Linked DNA regions of Oryzias latipes. The protein of the gene in region 1 binds, or shares a complex with, the protein of each later gene. Links are inferred from orthologs where the notes say so. Each region holds a gene or a part of one and is shown on either strand. Other genes may lie near its edges.

Region 1 (6,267 bases):
CCCGCAGAACGGTGTTCTCCTTACTGGTGTAGGACACACACACTATGTGGTTGGTGTCGCACAGAGACACCGTCAAGAGCTTGTTGGTCAACACGGAGCTCAAGTCAGCAAAACCAAAAAGTGAGTGGTCAGTGAACACCTAGAAACACAACAAGGTTGTTTTTGGGTGAAGTCGGTCAGTACAACCACACACAGAAGGTGGTGAAGGTAAAGCAGCTTGGTGGGACCTACTGTGTTCAGGCCCATGGTTTTGGCGTGGAAAAGTGCATCATGGGCCATGGCAGAGAAGGAGCTGTGAGCGTGAACCACAGTGATGCGCTCCCTGACGAAGACGCAGCGGAGCAGGGGGAGGCTGTGGAAGCAGGTGGTGGCCGTGGACTGGTTGTACATGACTTGCAGGGGCAGGTAGTAGACCTTGAGTCCGTGAGTCAGATACCTGACGCCCTTCCTCCTGCCGTACGCATGCGTGACGACCACCACCTTGTGTCCCTTTTCAATCAGACACTGCGACAGCTGATAAATGTGACTTTCAACTCCGCCCATGTTTGGGTAGAAAAAGTCCGACACCATGCAGATGCTGTGCTTCCTGCCGACCCCAGAGGAGTCGCTGCTGTCTGGTTTTGGTGAGGTGGCTACTTTCCTTCGCTGACTCATGGTCTAATCCTGGATTGGTGCTAAAACATCAGAAAAATAATCAAATAGTTGTTTAAAAAAGCTCACCCCAGACCCCAACAAATCTACTTTTTTCTCTATAGATTTTCAATGTGTAAACCAGAAAGGGATAAAAAAAAAAAACGACTAAGTTAGAGTCAGTTATGTGTGCAAATTCGAATGTTTTAGCAGGTTATTATTTTTTAATATCTAAAAATAAATAAACTATACCAAATATGAATGCAACACTTTTTGCTTAAGCACCTCTAACTCTCCACATATTTGATTTTCAAAATGTTTATGCAATATCAACAGAAGTTGAGCAGAAATTAATTCAATTTATTTATGAAAAATGGTAAATGGCGTATACTTGTATAGCGCTTTTCTACCTACAAGGACAAAGCGCTTTTACAGCCAGCGACCCATTCACCCAGTCACACACACATTCACACAGGCTCTGCTGCCAAACACAGGCGCCCGCCTACCACCTACCAAGGTGGGGTTCAGTGTCTTGCCCAAGGGCACTTTGACTCATGGGTGTGCAAGGTGGGAATTGAACCTGCAAGTTTAGGATCATGGGTTGACCGCCCTACCACTGCACCACGGCCGCCCCATCCTTTTTTTAGGAAAAAGGATAATGTTTATTTATACAAATGTCAAATACAATGTGTGATCCGAAAGCAATCTAATGATAGAAAAGAAAGTTACAAAGGCCCTAATCTTACTGAAAACAAGAACCTATTAAGATTTAAAATCTGTCTCCTGTCTTCCAGTATGAATTAGCTGTACGGGTCAGCAAAACAGTCAAAGTTTTACTGTGTTTGATGGGGGGGGTTCTGCAAATATAATTTTTAATAGAACCAACTTCCTCGCTGATTATTTTAACATAAATGTTTTCTTTTCTGTACCTCAATAGGAAACATGTAGGCTACATTAAAACCAATGTTATGCTAAAAGAAAGAAAAATATTGGGAAAAATTAATGTCAAACCTTTGCATATAAAGCAAGTAAAGTTAGCCTTCTACAAGGGAGTGATGGTACTTTATTCAAACCGATCTATCTCAAACCGAAGTGTCCCCAGTGATCTTTTAAGTATGATTATTATTGTTTTGTTAGCCAAAAACCGGTGTCGTTTTCTAGGACCGTTTCTGCAGAACAGCAATGCGAAATTTACCTCGAGTTTGTGGGCGGGACCATTGGTGGGGAGTAAGCCTGTGTTAATCTCATCATCCATCTGTTTACACACTCTCCCACTAGCTTACAGCCCCTCACAACCCCAACCTAACATTGGAAGAGTGACAAAAATGGAGAGCAATATCAGAGCTATCCAGTTGTTCAGTTATGAGCCAGATGCCAGCTCGGACGAGGAAAACAAAGACGTTCACGGATCTATTCGTCTGCGAGTGGATGCATCAGAATGGAGCGGAGCAGGGAGCTTGTGCTCCGCCCAGCACGTTTTCGATGCAACAAATACGCCATTGTTTGAACTGCATTTTCCGTCTGTTCCTGATTCACAACAAGTTGAATAAAGAAACAGTCAAATATGCCATTTTGAATTCAACTTTCTTTATACGTGTCTTCCACCATGAGAACAAGGTAACACCAAAAATACGATTTCATCAAAGTGGGTCTGTTAAGTGAACAAGAGAAAACAGATTCGTACAACCTTGTTTATAGTCTAAACTACAACTTTTAATTTAGGTCTGACAGTATTTAAGATTAAACAAAACAGTGACTAGCAGCTCAGATGACAATGGTCCCAGCCACAGAGACTTGATGAATAATCAGTGGGCTGTTTTGCATTCTTTCAAATAAGCTAGCTGTAATGGATCCGCTCCAACCAACAACAGACTATAAACCACATTCTCCTTCAAGTCCAGCATTCATATCATTCTAGCATCCAGAACAGCCTCTGGTGTCATTTATGTGATGTCGGCTCACAGAAGAAGCCCGTCAGACGAGAACTTTGGACACTTTTCATGAAGTTACACCTTTATCCCCCACCACTACCTGTTCAAGTCATTAATATAACGATGCTTGTGTCATTGACCACTTCTCCTAATAACCATTAAATAAGCTTAATCAAACGTAAATAATAAAAAAAAACTATATTTAAATTTTTACATTCACATAACGAAAGAAATATCAGGCAACTCTATATTCCATCATTTTATCACTCTTTTTGTCATGTGTGCGTATGTGTGTGTGTACTGGGGGTTGTCGGCACTGTTTGTCTTGTCATCTTGTTTTTACATTTTATTGTTGTATTTTATGCACAGCACCTTGACTGACATGTGTTGTTGTAAAAGTGCTATAATAAATAAAGGTTGATTTGATTTGATTGGGATAATGTCAACTGTAAAGGGAGAAGAAAATATATTCCTTCTCCAAAACCCCCACACAAATTAAAAAAATAAATAAAACAATAAATACAAATCAATAATGTGGCATCAATATTTTCCTTAAACACCTAAATAATAAAAATGTTTACTCATCAGTGCTGATACAGCAGTCTCTGTTTAAGTTAATAATTTTCAAGTCCAATATTCCAGACATTGTAAAATAAAACGTCAGTATAGCCGAACTGGGGGGAAACTAGCTACCTGTAAACTGTTCCAATAGCCAATCCAATAACAGCTTAGTTACTTCTTTTACATGAAGAACTATTTTCATTACGTCATTTGAATGACTATTTTCGCTCCTGACAGCCTACGTTTGGCTTACCGTGTGCAGAAATGTCGGCTTTGTTCCAGCTTTGAAAAAATAAAAAGTAAAACACGCTCAGTGGTCGATTCTTTTCCCTCCAGTTCTTTATGCTAACCGTTTAGCCGCCTGTGCTACTTCCTGCTACGTCAGACGTAGTGAGTACGTCAACTGCGTTCCCCGTTGATCACGTGGGTGTCAGAAGCATCTTCAGTGCTTTTTTTCATTAAACGATTGAACATAACAGAACATGGCTGAACATACAAGTAATTAAAAAAAAAAAATCAGAAATTACAGTCAGAAGAAACAAACGCAGAACAACATAATGGTAAAATAAAATAATCACAAATTTAGCTAGGCTTATTTTTTTCGATTACATCCATTAGAAGTTTTGATTAAAATAATAATAATAATAATAATAATAATAATAAGGAAAATCATGTGTGTTTTTTTAACCAAACACCAACAAAGCAAAAAAAATCAGAGCTTCTTCAATATAATACAGATATCTGACCTTTAACACTAAAAGAGCCATTGAAGCCTGTTTCTTATCGACCAAAGCAACTTCAAAACTCTTTTTTTAGACCATTAAGCCATTCTTTTATAAAACGTATTAATGTAAATACTTTCAATGTAAAAACTTTTTCCAACTGCATTTTTTTGTCTGCTCTTGATTCACAACAATTTGAATAAAGAAATACTCATAAATTCCATTTTAGGCATAATTTTCTTCATACTTGTCCTCCATCATGTGATGTAATGCCACAAGAACAGGTTAAAAGAAACATCAACATGATTTTCATCAGAGTTACAGATGTATAGATTATACACACAAGACACCAAAATGAATTAAAATAATGCAATGCAGCTAATTTTGTTTTTAATTATTTTTGTTAGATAACCTTTATTTAACCAGATAAAGACACTTCCCCTCAAGGGTCTCCACAGCAAGTCAGTTTTCAGTGATCCACACATTAGATTTGGTTTTCGCCGGATGCCCCCTCCTGACTCAACCCTGCATTTTATCCTGGGGGAGGACTGGCACTGGCAGATCCAGACTCGGGCCTCCTTGTGACCACATAGTTAGGCAGCGTAGTGTGAAGGGTCTGTCCTAAAGGACCCACATTGGATGAAGCTCATCGTGTCCCCAATCTGAATTCCCATTCGTTTTTTTTATGTTGCAAATCAGCTTCTGAAAAGTTTAACATGATGCTTTTTACAGGATGGTTCATTAACCAGCATTCTCTTCAACCGACAAGTAATGGAAAGTGTTGAAAAACAATGGTTATTACAATTTATTATCATTTTAAATGATACAAAACTATACAGGAAATAAAAGAACACAACAAATGTATCCCAACATAAACAACTTTTTCGAAAAATTTACATGTCTTGTATTCAACATTGTCAGCATTTGACAAAACTTCTCAGAGCCAGCAAGTACTTCCTGTTTGGAAGGTGATGTGGGAGGAGTCACTCAATCCAGTTCTCATCTACAGTCAAGAGTTTGAGGCTATTACTAAACATTTGACAAAACCCAGAAAACAAAGTATGAATCATTAACTTGCTCTTTTGTAGTTTTTTTTTTTTTTTTTACGTAGATTTGCTTATCTGCCTTGGTTTCTATGTCAGCAGGTTCATAAAGAACACATTAAAGCTCATTTTTAGACTTTGACCTAAACTCTGCTGCACCTTTTTTTTACCATTTATTGGTTTAATATTTTAACATCTGTCTAAGTTTGTTCAAGCTTTCCTTTTGAAACAGAAGGCTTCGCCTTGAGACATTCGGAAATGCCGTCGGATAGACAACAGACACTAAAACATGTTGTTGATATAAAACACGCTGTTATGAGTCAACTTTACGATTCGTCTTTATGAGCCTTCAGTCACGGTGCACAACAAGGTTTTGTGTTTGGCCCTATATATATTTATAATACTCTTTGGTTAGTTTGGCGTATTTTATGATTCACAGCAAAAATGCGGTTTCTATGATGACGACAGAAACTATTACTGTCTTTTAAATAAGGCGATGTTTTAAAGTTTGAAGGGAAATGTCCTGATTTTTATTTACTTTCTCTTGTACTAAAATAAGACTACATGTTTTTTTGGAGCTGAGCCAATCAGCAATTCTGTATCTGACTATGAAATGATAGTTGATTCACCAGGATAAGTTTGAACTTGTTGAAATTGAGTTTCTGAAACTGCCCCCTTCCAATGATGTACTTTTTCTCCGTATCAGATCCCAGTCTTGAGGAGTAAAATGCTTTTTCTTGTGAAACCAGCTCTTTGGTTCAGTCAAGAAGGCAAATATTACATCTTCTCCCTACGACTATGTTTAAAACTTGCATTGCTTTGCGAAAACTTGTCGTTAAGGGTTGGTGATAGTGACCCTAACCCATGACTGTAAATATGCTGCAGTTAACTTTCACTGCTGAAAGCTGTGAAGGTTCACTGTGTTCCATTTGCTCCACAGCTTTTTCTAGCTTTTCCTCATTTTTTTGGAAACAGTTTTATCTTTACTTTTAAATCCAATCATTCAGCCAAGCGGGTGGCTCAACTTGACTCATCTGATCATGTAAGAGATCTTCTTATTTCAAGCAAATCTCTTCCCTTCTGCTGACCTCCAGAATTCAATTCAATTCAATTTCAATTCAATTCATACATAAAGCCCAAAATCACAACAACATTCGTCTCAATGGGCTTCGTACCTGTAATTGTAAAGTAAACTTGTAAGTATCATGAGTACACAGAATTCAATAGGAAAATTCTCAACTGAACAAACTAAGCAGACTAAACTAAACTGGGCATCCCTGTCCTCAATACTGGGAATTTACAATCAAACCTAGCAGGTCTTTTTTCGGCCAAATGCACTTTAAACGTCTGGACTAAAATTCTCCCGACCTGAAAACTAGA
Region 2 (6,297 bases), on another chromosome or scaffold:
CAGCCACCTCCTTTTGCACAACATGCACATCCTCCCCTGTAAAAAAAAAAAAATCACATTTTGACACTGTTCAAAAGCACAGAGGATTGTTTGAAAGCAATAAACATCTAAGTATACAGTGATGTCTCGTTTTCTTACCATTTTTAATGTGTTCCGGTCGGATCCCACTGACAGCTGTTCTGTAGTCTGTCACCTTCTCTGTGGGTTTGACATATTTGTCATAGATGCATTTTCCAAACTGGTTCACGATGGACACACGTGCCAGGATGCTGTCCTCCCCATCTGGACCGACTCCCACCATCTCACAATCAATAGCTACAGCTTTGGTGATGCTGATATTCATACGTACAAACGTGGAGAAAACAAAAGGTCATCTAATGAAACAGTCCAGTCTTTCTGCTGCCCGTTTTAAAGTTTCTCCACAGAAATCACCTGAAACATTATTAAATCATTTTCTCTTTTGAGAGAAGTAAGAGAACATCTGATGTTATTGGGGTATAACTGACAACTATACCGATTTTTTCAAAAACTTGTTTAAAAAGGCAACGGCTGTTTTTCCAACTACTTCCACTTAGGGAGTCTGTTGGAGCCAGTCTGCTGCAGGTTGAGATGAGCATAAACTCTGCAACAGCTATGGCTGCATATTCATCAGGAAGCAATTGCGAAACAATCCGACGATTTTAAGACTCATACTTATGCCCAAAGAGAGCAACACACACGGGAAGTATCCCACTAGATTAAAGAGTTGCTAGGAATGGACTTTTTCAACACTTTTACACATCCGACCAAGAAAACAATGATGAAGAAGAGCAGCAGATGAGATTAAAACAATATACTATAATAATGATTGTTGAGCAAAAATTATCAAAAAATATCAGGACAAAAAGAAGGACTCCAAATTTGAAATATCTGGTTCTCTGTCAGCTTTAGGATCGATTTTAAGGTACTTTTCTTAGTTTAATGAAATTGCACTTTAATTTTAATCAAGCTGGTGTTAGCAGACGACCCTCCCAGAGCCCTCAGATCCAGTTATGCTGGTGCTCCCTGAGGTCATAAACAAAAACCCACAGCGAGGCCACATGGCAGAACTTTGGCCTAAACTCACCTTTTTAGTTTAGCTTTTATGTCGATTTTACATTTCCTCATGTTTTAATTTGATTTTATGGATTATTTTTTCCTGCTAGTTTTTGTACACAACATGTGTTTATTATAAATACTAATATAATTATTATTTATTTATGTAAAAGACTTTGAGGTGTTTTTTAACAGGAAAAGAGCTCTATAAAGAAAGGTGAATTTCAACTAGAGTTGATCGATAGCAAATGAAGGTGTGGCATTTTGACCGTAAGAACACAAAACAGTTTCTCTTACCCATCAAAGGCGTTCTCTTTTACCAGAACGCTATCTACGTTCTTGCTTGTTTTCATGCCTTGTTTCCTCCTCATGATCTCTGCAGCCTCGGCTCCCATCGTTTCCTCAATATCGTCAGGGTCGACGTCATCAAACCAAAGGTCCTCCCTACAGCAGCACAAGCAAAGATTACAAGGCAAACCCGAACTGAAGTCAAGTATTAGCAATAAGGATACATACTCTGTGGGTTTCCTCTCTTCAGTGACGGGCTTCTTTTTCTTGGCTGGTTTCTCATTGTCTGTCTTTTCGTTTTGCCTTTTCCTTGCACCACCAGGTTGCAGTTTGTCTAAGGCGGCGTGGATCTTTGCCTTCACCCCATCCTCCTTTGGGGCATCGCCACTTTTGACTTTTCCCTCTCTGTCTGTGTGCACCTGGCTGGGAGCAGGGCTCTTATTTTGAAACTTTTTAGGCTCATTTCCTTTAAACTTCTTAGGGAAGACACCATTCCGATGTTTTGGTGTAACAGGCTGCTTCTTCTCTGGCTGACTGCTCTTTAAGATCTGCCATGTTCAGGAAACAAAGAAGATAATTACATTTTAAAAGTAAATACATTTTCACATAAGTAGTTGCACAGCTTATGAAGAGCATAGAGTTTAATATTCGTCAGACAAACCTCTTGTAATGCTTTCCAGTTGGAAGAAAACTGTTGGGGATCCTGTGGTGGTGCAGTTTGCTTTGCTCCAGGATTTTCTAGATTTTTCTTGTTTAGAGTCTTTTGGGAAGTTTGTTTTTTACGATTATGCTTTATAAAAAACTTCTTCCTTTTTTCTTTGGACGTCAGCTGTTGCGTTTTTCCAGCAGGAGTTTCCTTTCCTTTGATTTTAGACATCGTGGTCGCACTTCTTTAAACTTCAGGGAGTATTTGCTGTGTTACACAGCCACGTTTTTGAAAGAAGCCAATTTTAGGTGAGATGTAAACGAAAACAGTTAACGCTGTGTCACATACATATGTATCCCAGATAAAGGGCACACACTGTTTCTATTAGCAAAAATAGCCACTTTATTATCCTCCCAAACAGGGAAAAATTATGTTTCAAGTTGTTTACCTTCACATTCACGAAGCCATGCTGCGGTGCTTCTGGAATGAGTAACAGTCAAATATGTTCGTCAGGAAAAAAGTAACATGATTCGTTCGAGCGGCAGAAAGTTCTCCCTTCGTTGATTTTTTTATTTCTTTCTTTTTTCAAGCTTGAAAATAGTTTTTAATATCTATACATTACTAACAAAGAACACAAGATTGATATGTAATTTTGCTTTATTTCTTTAAAGTCTTTTGTTCCTGATGTACAGTTTCTGACCGAACTCATTTAGGTGATGGACTAACGTTTTGTTGACAGCAGTCAGCTAGGTTTTGGCGTAATATGATTAGATGCACTTTTTACATTTTTATTTATGTTTCGTTTGAAATAGTAGAATTGGATTTTATCTATCGTTGAACCTAGCTGATGGTACGATATAAACAAGCTATTTGAGAAACATTTAAACTGTTTTTAGGGGTTTTTGTAAACTTGCTGCTCTTCTTACGAACCAAAATACACTTATTATCTGTCGGTAAGTTTAGTGACTTTTTGTCATTGTTTATTTTCGATTATTTTACCCAATAGATGGTCTGTTTGTGTTCTGGTTTCAGATCATGGTTGAAAACTCCCCATCACCTATGCCAGAGAGAGCAATCTATGGGTTTGTTCTCTTCCTTGGCTCCCAGTTTGGCTTCTGTAAGTTAAGTCCCATCACATCATGTTCTTTCAAATTAGAAGCATAGTTCTATTTGCAGAAGATGTCATTCAACGTAAAATGTTGTGGAATTACTTATCTCTACGGCTCTTGGTAATATAGCAAAGACATTCTGTTCCTTTTGTTTATGTTGCCATAAATCTAATCTCATTGAAATTTGTAAATGTGCAGGACGACTCACTTGAGTTAAAATAGAATAACCGTTTCTCGGTGGAGATTTAAATCTCCTTACTACTAGGGTGATAAATAGTTGACCACCTGAAAAACAGACTGCCATTAATTCAATGTGACTTCACTTAAAAAAAACAAGCCTTTTTGGATTTTTTTCTCAATAGAATTCTTTCAATAATTAGTTTTTTTTAAGTTATTTATATCTCAAGGTATACATTAGTAAAAGGTTATTGTGTTTATATATATTTTTAAAAATTCAGCTGAAAGATGGCAGGATGGTAGTGACTTAAATATTGTAAATTACTTTAAAACGCTAGTTGTGTGTTGTTGTTGTTTTGGGTAAAAAGTAGGATTTTTTTAATAGGCCTGTTATGTTCATATTTAGGCTTAAAACTACACAATTTAATAAGTCGGCAAAATTGTATTAAGCCAAATGAAGAAGTCTTGTTTAACTTTTAAATTGGATTGTCTTTTTCTCATTTAAAAGAAAATTCTTCTAATAATCCCAATAATTCTAAAAAGATTTCAATTTGGAATATCACATAACTCTGTTGCTTATAAATGAATATTTACACTTTCCTCAAAGGTTGTCTTTTTTATTGGTTGGATGGTCTTTCTGTATGAAAAAGCATCAGATTTAAAAATAAATTGAAATGAAAGGACATATGTTTATACATAAATGTAAGATAATGTAACAGAACAGAAGTAAAAATAGTTCGTGAACAATTTGAAAAAAAAGTCTATCCTAAAAGAGTATCAAAGAATTCTCTTAATAAAATATGTTTGTTCTGTTTCTTTTCCCAAAGTTCTGTACTGCTTGTGGGCATACATACCAGAGGAATGGCTTCATTCTATAGGGCTCACTTATTGGCCTCAAAAGTAAGTAGCAACAATATGACAAGTTAGAATTTATGTTTTATGTCTTTTTACAATGAGATTACCCTAGGCTTGTTAGCCTTTGTTTGAATCTTAAAGTGAAATGTTTGATGCAGGTATTGGGCTCTCGCAGTGCCAATATATATGCTGGTGGCAATACTGGTGTTTGTTGTGGTGTTATTTGGGGTCAACATGAGCAACACAGCCCCACTGGACTCTGTGGACAACATCACAGGTGAGTTTATGGCTGCAGGCTAACAGTCAGCGTAAATCACAGAAAAGCTGTTTGAAGTGAAATTATATTGAATTTTAAAAAAAGGAAGTAAAATCACTGCTAGGAGTAATACAACCGAACTAGCTTTAACATGCGCTAATTGCAGCTGCATTTTTCTAAAAAAGGAACTGTACCTCACATAATAAAAGCATATACTTTTAAAATAAATGAATACAAATAAGGGTGAGTAATTTATGTCAAAAAGGTCGGATATTATGTCAAAATTAAGAAAACACCACCAAGAAAACAGCTTTAAGTGTCTTCTTTGTGTCTTTTAGATATTTATGCACTAAAGCAGAGTGAAGAATGCCTGCAGAAGGGGGGAATACCTCGAATAAAGGATGTCTCCATCAGTGATGTCAACAAAATGTTTTATTTATCACCCAAAACATAACAGTCTGCTGCTGGGTGTTTTGTGGTTTCTCTGTTCATTTATTAATAATCTGGGGGAACCTTTCTGATGGTGTAATATGCCAAATCTGTTCGCTTTTGCAAATTTGTATGCAAAGTTAACAGGTCTGGTTAGTGGGTTTGTATGTAACTTTTGCACTGTGACTTTGCTATTTACCTTTTAAATTTTTTTTCTTAATTGATCAAGATGTTTCCATCATACCAATAAGAAAATATCACTTAAATATGTTCATTTACAGTATGTTTCAGTGCATTAAAGATGAGGTATTTTTCCACAAGATAAACTCAACTTTTGTTATTTTAGACAAAATAGATAAAGTTTCAAAGCTGAACCAAGTTGTGTTTATAGTTTCTGGCTAAACATAAAATAATATATATACTGTATATCTTGTTGTTTCATTGTTGCCTTTGTATTTTTGTACAATTCAAAGATGACAAAAGTGCATAAAAGATATTTTAAAAAAAGATTGGGGGTCCTATTTCCCTCCTTTTCTGTTTACACTTCATTTTATTACAAATAAGGAGATTTTTTGGTGTTTCATTTTGAAAATTGTCCTGTGTGTCATTTATTGTTATTGGCACAAAGATCTTTAAATGTACAGCAGGGGGCAGTAGTGAGTTTGGTGCTGCGTTTTGTTAACTTTATTGATAGACGAAGAAAAGCAATAACAGGGTGCTGCTCCTCTTCCAAGTATTCCACATTTTTGTTGTTTAGTTTTGTGCTTATTGTCTTCAAATACACGTTCCAAACAAACAAAAATGACGTTTGCTGTTCCGGTGTGGCTGGCGGTGCACGAGCTTCTCCTGGAAGAAGAAGCGGCGGAGAAGGAGAACTCGACCTGTTTTGACGAATTCAACGACGCCGCTTTGTTCGAATACTTCCACCTCACGCGGCCCTGCATCGCTTTCATCGTCGACGCCGTTCGAATCCGCATGAAAACGGTCTCCTGCAAGAAACCCTCGCCTCCGGTGGACGCGTTCGTCATGGTGGCTCTTAACTACTTCGCGCATGGCGCGTTCAGCCCGCTCGTGGTGCAGAAAGTGGGCTCGTGCCTGCACGCCAGCCTCACGAGCGTCGCCAGCTCAGCATCGGGGGTCATCGCGGGGATGTCGGACGTGTTCATCTCTTTCCCTCTCACCGCGGAAGCCAGGATTCAAAACGCCGCCGTCATTAAAGAGTTCTGCAAAATCCCCAACGTCCTGGGAGCCATGGCTCCTGCCCAGTTTAAGATCAGGGCTTCTCCGTATGAGAAGGAGTTCTTTAAGTCCTTCATCAACGCGCAGGGCTTCACGTCGGTGGTGAGCCAGTTCATATGCGATTCCCAGGGCAACATCCTGAGTGTGGAGAAATGCTGCGTAGGGAGCACTTCGGAGCAGGAACTCTGGGAGTCCTCATTCAAAGGCAGGGAGGTGGAGGAGGA
Region 3 (6,359 bases), on another chromosome or scaffold:
TATCTAACGGATCTGTGTTAGCATGACCAATGGAACACGCAAAGTGAAATGCTTGATCCGTTCCATGAGGAGAGTAGGAGCCGCAGTATGAATCCTTCTGTTCGCACATTTGAACATGTTTGTTTCGCTGAAGTCAAATAAAATCAAAACAGTTGAAAAATACTGTGAAAAGTGTTGAAGTTACAGTTACGGGTTTTGTTCATGGATTCTGGGTGTGTCGGTGGGCGGCTCTAGATATGAGGGTGTGAGGCCGTAACCCCTGTGCTTAGATGACCCCCCCTTCCATTGACGTGTTCCCCCTACCATGACAAAGGTGGATAAAGGTGGAAAGATTTCATGTAATCCATGGACACCAGTGAAGATCACAAATCATTGAAGAAAAAAGGTTCAGAGCTCTGTCTAGTGGGTCTAGATGACCCAACTCCCAATGGTAAAGTGCCTAGGATAGAACAAGAGTTAACCAGTGACTGTGTATGGAGACCTGGACTGGGCACGCCCCTCCCCCTGGCGTTCCAAACAGGAAGTATCTGCTGGTTCCAAGAAACCAGAATCCCGTACATGTCTATAGAAATGACCAGATGTTCCTCAGTCATTCTATTGGTCAGAAGAAGCGTTCTGGATCTGATACCTTTTGTTAATATATTCTTAATAATCCTCATTTGCTTTCTTTATTCAAGATCTCAGCTGACCAATCAGATCCCTCAGTAAGAGCTTGTGGTGCCTGCTGCCCCCCACCTCTAACGTTTGACAGATTTTCCTGAGCTGCTTTCAGGTCCTGAGCTGAAGGGGTGTGGACTTCAAACAAGCTTACTTCTGATTGGCGACAGTAGTTGCCATAGAAACGACCACTCGCACCAACCACTGTCGTCTGGCTCCAACATGGCGCAACCGTATCGAGGAAAAACGGCGACTGAATCGGGTTCCTTTAGCTGGAGCTGGGGGTTAGGTGTTTTCTACGGGTGGCTCACCCTCGATCAGTCCAGTTCTCTATACAGTCAATGGTTGAAACCGATTTTCTACTATTTTAATTTGTGATTTTATTGATGTAGAGAAAACAGTTAGGTAACATGGAGCAAGACAAGAATCCAGCCCATCAGGAGGGTTAAAGTCCAAACTAGTGAGAAATGACAAAAGTATTCAGACTTTTGAAACACCTAAAGACTCCACCCACCGTACTCATCTGGTGTACAAATGCTGCCTCCACACAGTGTAGATACTGAAAACGAGTGACTCCCAGCATCATGGAGGTCAGCAGAATGCTTGGCAACCATTAAAACATCTGTAGGACGGGGTGATCTATGTGAAAAGGTTTATTTTTCAGTTTGAAACCCAGACTTCACTCACAGCCAGCACTCATACCCACAACACCAAGCACATGTTCTGTCAAAAAGATTCCCAGAGGAGGAAAATGAATCCATGTGACTTTATAAAGTTCCATTTTCCCATGGAAAGTGGGACTAATCCACTTTCTTTGGCTTGTGATTCATCCACACAACAGCTGCTGTGAAAGCCCCTGCAGAGAAGACAAAAACCAGAGGATCACCGCGTCCGTCTGGCATGAAGACGTGTAGACAGCGGGGTCATGAGGTCATGAGACGGCATACTGACCTATCATGAGGAGCAAAACCACTGCTGCAATGCCCGGCAGGATGACAGAGTACTCACGAGGAAGGAAGTACTGCTGCAGCATGTGGTCACCGTCCATGAACGGCTGCAATTGGTGCAAATCACAGTATTAGAGTCCACCTTTGTCCTACAGATATTTAAGAGGCTCCATCAGGACGTACCAGAACCACGACCCACACAGAGTAGTACGAAAACAGAGCCAGGCTGAACAGAACCAGACCCATGCCGACAGCCTGATCCACTCCAGTGGCCTGAAAACCAAGAGCAGAAAAAGTTCATCAGTGACCCAGCTTTGGACCGGGTCTCAGACTGCGGGTGCCGCAGCAGTTAAAGTCAATGAGTTCTATCGCTAGAGGAGACGTCATGGGATTCTTCATGGGAGGAGAGCACCGCCATCTTGGTGAGGTCAAGTCACTGCTGCAGTTCAGCATGTGAACTCAAAATCCCAGTTCATTGTGCGGATTTCAACTGTCAAAATCGAGGAAATTAGTCCACGAAGCAGGAAGGCAGAACATTTCACAGGTAAGTATTTTAATGTTTTTCTTTTAATGCTGGAGGGGCTTCATGAATAGAACACATGTAGACATGCATGATGCTGCAGGGCTGTTATCAACATGCTGCATGATGTACGGAGAATTTGCTGTCGACATAAATGTAAACTTTATTGTGTTAAACCTATATACAGTATACTAGGACTAGGCTATTATAATAATATAGATTTATACATTTCTGACTCAGACTGAACTTTTCTTGCAGGTTTCTAATAGATTCAGACTTCAGGAAAAAGTGGATCTTAGCAATAAAAAGAGCTAACCCAGATGGATCACTGTGGTACCAACTAGTGATACAGTCTGGATATGTTCAGAACATTTGTGGAACCAGACTTTGATGAGAGGCCAGAATGTTAGCCTGAAACCCGACACCAAGGAATCTGTGTTACACAAACTGATCACTAACATGAATCAGTTAATCTATTGTTTCTCTTTGTTTTTTCAGGGTAAATCTGTTATTGACTTTTGGACTTATTGTTGACTTATTATTGATTTATTCTTATAATTTATTATTATTATTGAATTACTATTTATTATTATTATAATTATTGACTTATGTATATATTGTTATTATTCATTATTATTATTGGCTTCCTATTGACTTATTGTTGGGCTTTTCTAAATAATTTAAATTACGTTTCAAAGAGGTCTAAAACTTCTACATGTTTAAAAATTATTTTTAAAAATTCTTTGTAATAATTTTTTTTGTAAGAAGTCCTGCAACTCTGCATTTTTCATTAAAGTTTGAGCTTTTAATGCTGCCTGTTTCTCTTATTTAAAAACAAATGATGCATATACATAAATGATATACATATATATTTATATATAGGTATAAATATATATAAAAGCTACTAGATGCCACTAAAGGCAATAGAAATCATTGTCACGTGGGCGCTGACGACCTCACCAAGATGGCGTCGCGCTCCGCCACCGTCGGCCAGGCTTCCCAAGCGGGTGTGTCTCCTCTAGTGATAGAACTCATTGGGTAAAGTTTCTGTGGGATGTTCTTCTAACTTCAGAGTAAATAAATACAATGAAAAAGGCCAAACTGACTACAGCTGCGGCTTCAATCTCAGCGTTTTTTCATGTGCGGTGAATAAAAATGTCAGAGACCAAACGTCCGTTTTGTCCGCATTCCCGTGAGGAGAAAACATTCCTGTCGTTCTTCTGAAGGCCGGTTAGGGACCCGGTTAGGGACCCGCGGATCGTCATTAAGCCTTAAGCGTCAAGAGCTCAACGCGAAACTTCAACCTGCTTTTAGGCACAATTCTTCATGACGGCGGCCTGTAAAGGTCAAACCACTGCGACTGTTTATCCCCGTAAAATCATGTTTGTAAAGGGATTTCCTATAAAATAAATTACTTAAACGCCGCTCACCATTGTTGACAGGCGGTAGAACCACGTGACCTCCGTTTTTCCGGTTGGTTTATGTCCGGCTGCAGCTGCAGGAGAAAGTCCCGTGACCGCCCCCTGCTGGTCTGGAGTAACATGACAAATAGAAAAACGTCCCGCCTGATTTTGTTGTTTTTTACATTTTCTGTCTTGTGGGATTCCTGAAGCAGCAAACAGTTGGCGTTTCGACATCCTGGCCATTTGGAAAGGAATATTTTTTATGACTTTAGGATTTGTGTTGAGATTCATGCTGGAGTCTCACAGGAACGTTCATATTCCATAAATCCATTTTCTGCACTAACCCACTTCAACACGACAATCTGGCTCCAAGAGATCGGCTTTAGTCATGGTGGTCATCCTCAGGCAAAGCTACATTATTCCCTGGACTTATGGACCGGACCATCCAGGAGTCATGGACCGGACAACGCTTCTGCAGTGATATGAGTCATCACTTTTTTGATTAAACTAAAGAAATGGTAGTTACTGGTAAACACTCCTACCAGTAGAACCCGCTCATCCACATTCAAAATAATGAAATAAAAACTATCCAATACTTTCATAACAAATCTCTAAGAAACAGAAATCCGTACATGATGAACCTTTTTTTTTAATCCAGGTCAGAAAGTAGATCATCAAGAACAAAGATTTGTTTAAAAAAATAAACAAATACATTTTCAGAGAGCTTAAGTGTCGACATTCCGCTAAATAAATACATAGTTCAGCGATACAGTTCAGAAAAGTTGCTTTTGAGTTCAAAGATTTTAAAATACATGTTTTTAATTTACAATGCAGTCCCAATGTTTAGACCAGCTAGTTGGTGTGCAAACAAGAGCAAATGTTGCAGACACTGATGCATTCATGTTCCTGCAGTGATAAATGCTCTTTGCTGCTGAAAAAGATCATTCATTAAGAACAAACTACAGATCTGACGGTAAAGACATTTGACCACTAAGTATTTGCTCATCACTCATTATTTAATTAGAGTAAAAAAACTATAGAAACACAATCCAGAACTGTTGCCCTAGTTGAGGCCTGGCCTGGGTTGGCCCGCCCTACTGCCAACTCCTGGGGCTACCGGGTTGATCCTGCCAGCAGAATTCACTCGTCTGAAAAATGAACCATCCAAGTCAGTTTGGTAAAGCAAGAACTGACCTGCGTGGAGAAATGAATCTGAATAAGATAGTCAAAACATAGCCAGTTGACAGTTGACAGTTGCTCTACGTCAATGTTACCCTACTTTTTATTTAAATACTTAAGACTAAATAATAATGGATTGATCTGCTTTTCCAGACGCTCAAAGCGTTAACAGTGAGTCCATCATTCATTCATACTTGGTGATGGTAACTACTGATGTAGCCTCAGCTGCCCTGGGGCAGACGGACAGAGGCGTGGCTGACAGTTGGCGCCTACGGCCCCTCTGACCATCACCAGGACATTCATGCACATTCATGCACCAGTGGAGGCAGGGAGGGTGAAGCGTCTTCCCCAAAGACACGACAGTTGGCTGGGGGGAGAGGGGATCGAACCAACGACCCTTCGATCATTGGACGACCTGCTCATCTGCCTGAGCCACTGCCACCCATCCATCCATATATCCATCCATCCATCAAATTTCAGAAGTTTATTCACTTTCCCACCAGAGACAACAACACACTGGATCAAGTCTACTGCAACATCCCAGGTGCATACAAGGCTGCAGCAGCTCCTCACCTGGGCATGTCGGATCACATCTCTGTGGAGCTAACCCCCACATACAGACCTCTGATCTGCAGGACCAAACCAACCATCAAAACAGTTCAGGTATGGACCGAAGAGGCTTCTTCTGCACTACAGGACTGTTTTGAACTCACTGACTGGGAGGTGTTTAAAGATGGCTCAGACCTGGAGGCCTACACAACATCCGTCCTGAGCTATGTGCTGTTCTGCACCGATGCTGTTCTGCCCACAAAGTCCATCAAAGTCTACCCAAACCAGAAACCATGGTTTGATGGAACAGTGCGGTCTTTGCTCAAAGCTCGGGATGCAGCCTACAGGTCAGGTGACAGGCTGGCCTACAGCAGAGCCCGGACAGAGCTGAGGAGGGGCATCAACCAGGCCAAACGCAGACACAGACAACAGGTGGAACAGCACTTTGCTAATAACAACCCGCGGGAGATGTGGAGAGGCATCAGAACCATCACAGACCACAGGAGCAGCATGCAGCAGACCACTCATGACCCCACCCTGCCTGACACTCTAAACACCTTCTTTGCACGCTTCGAGACGCCCGGCAGCAGCAGGGACTCTGGTCCTCTATTACAGCTGGAGGAGCAGTCCCAGCCTCTCGTCCTGCAGCTACATCAGGTGAGCTCCACTCTGAGGAGGATCGACACCAGTAAAGCCGCAGGACCAGATAAGGTGTCAGGTCGGGTTCTGAAGCTGTGCGCACATCAACTGGCTGGAGTTTTCCTGGACATCTTCAATTGGTCCCTGCAGCTCACCTCAGTTCCCGTGTGCCTCAAGTCCTCCATCATCGTGCCGGTGCCAAAAAAATCATCTGTCTCGTGCCTCAATGATTACCGGCCGGTCGCTCTGACACCGGTGATCATGAAGTGCTTTGAGAGGATCATCCTGAACCACATCAAGGACATCATCCCTGCTACTCTGGACAGCCATCAGTTCGCTTACAGGGAGAACCGATCGACAGAGGACGCAGTCTCACTAGCCCTGCATGCTACCCTGTCCCACCTGGAGCATCCTGACACCTATGTCAGGATGTTATTTGTGGACTTCAGTTCAGCCTTTAACACG

Evidence for each region. Proteins that work in one complex are often made in the same cells at the same time.
Region 2: piga (region 1) and pigp share a complex: the UniProt entries of both Homo sapiens proteins name them as parts of the glycosylphosphatidylinositol-N-acetylglucosaminyltransferase (GPI-GnT) complex. The link is inferred for Oryzias latipes from reciprocal best matches to the Homo sapiens genes PIGA and PIGP.
Region 3: piga (region 1) and dpm2 share a complex: the UniProt entries of both Homo sapiens proteins name them as parts of the glycosylphosphatidylinositol-N-acetylglucosaminyltransferase (GPI-GnT) complex. The link is inferred for Oryzias latipes from reciprocal best matches to the Homo sapiens genes PIGA and DPM2.

What each region holds. Positions count from the first base shown.
Region 1 is NC_019879.2:3,734,363-3,740,629, reverse strand, and holds the start of piga (phosphatidylinositol N-acetylglucosaminyltransferase subunit A), read right to left. Parts: upstream 3,514-6,267; 5' UTR 3,376-3,513; intron 675-3,375; 5' UTR 655-674; coding exon 232-654; intron 140-231; coding exon 1-139. UniProt on the Homo sapiens protein: Catalytic subunit of the glycosylphosphatidylinositol-N-acetylglucosaminyltransferase (GPI-GnT) complex that catalyzes the transfer of N-acetylglucosamine from UDP-N-acetylglucosamine to phosphatidylinositol and participates in the first step of GPI biosynthesis.
Region 2 is NC_019877.2:8,246,854-8,253,150, reverse strand, and holds pigp (phosphatidylinositol N-acetylglucosaminyltransferase subunit P), read left to right. Parts: upstream 1-2,705; 5' UTR 2,706-2,961; intron 2,962-3,040; 5' UTR 3,041-3,043; coding exon 3,044-3,125; intron 3,126-4,121; coding exon 4,122-4,194; intron 4,195-4,307; coding exon 4,308-4,426; intron 4,427-4,743; coding exon 4,744-4,859; 3' UTR 4,860-5,341; downstream 5,342-6,297. Other genes in the region: rexo4 (RNA exonuclease 4), read right to left, coding at 1-36, 139-332, 1,372-1,518, 1,591-1,910, 2,024-2,239; putative nuclease HARBI1, read left to right, coding at 5,636-6,297. UniProt on the Homo sapiens protein: Part of the glycosylphosphatidylinositol-N-acetylglucosaminyltransferase (GPI-GnT) complex that catalyzes the transfer of N-acetylglucosamine from UDP-N-acetylglucosamine to phosphatidylinositol and participates in the first step of GPI biosynthesis.
Region 3 is NC_019870.2:30,337,966-30,344,324, reverse strand, and holds dpm2 (dolichol phosphate-mannose biosynthesis regulatory protein), read right to left. Parts: upstream 3,578-6,359; 5' UTR 3,390-3,577; coding exon 3,291-3,389; intron 1,878-3,290; coding exon 1,788-1,877; intron 1,712-1,787; coding exon 1,609-1,711; intron 1,514-1,608; coding exon 1,458-1,513; 3' UTR 1,293-1,457; downstream 1-1,292. UniProt on the Homo sapiens protein: Regulates the biosynthesis of dolichol phosphate-mannose. Regulatory subunit of the dolichol-phosphate mannose (DPM) synthase complex; essential for the ER localization and stable expression of DPM1.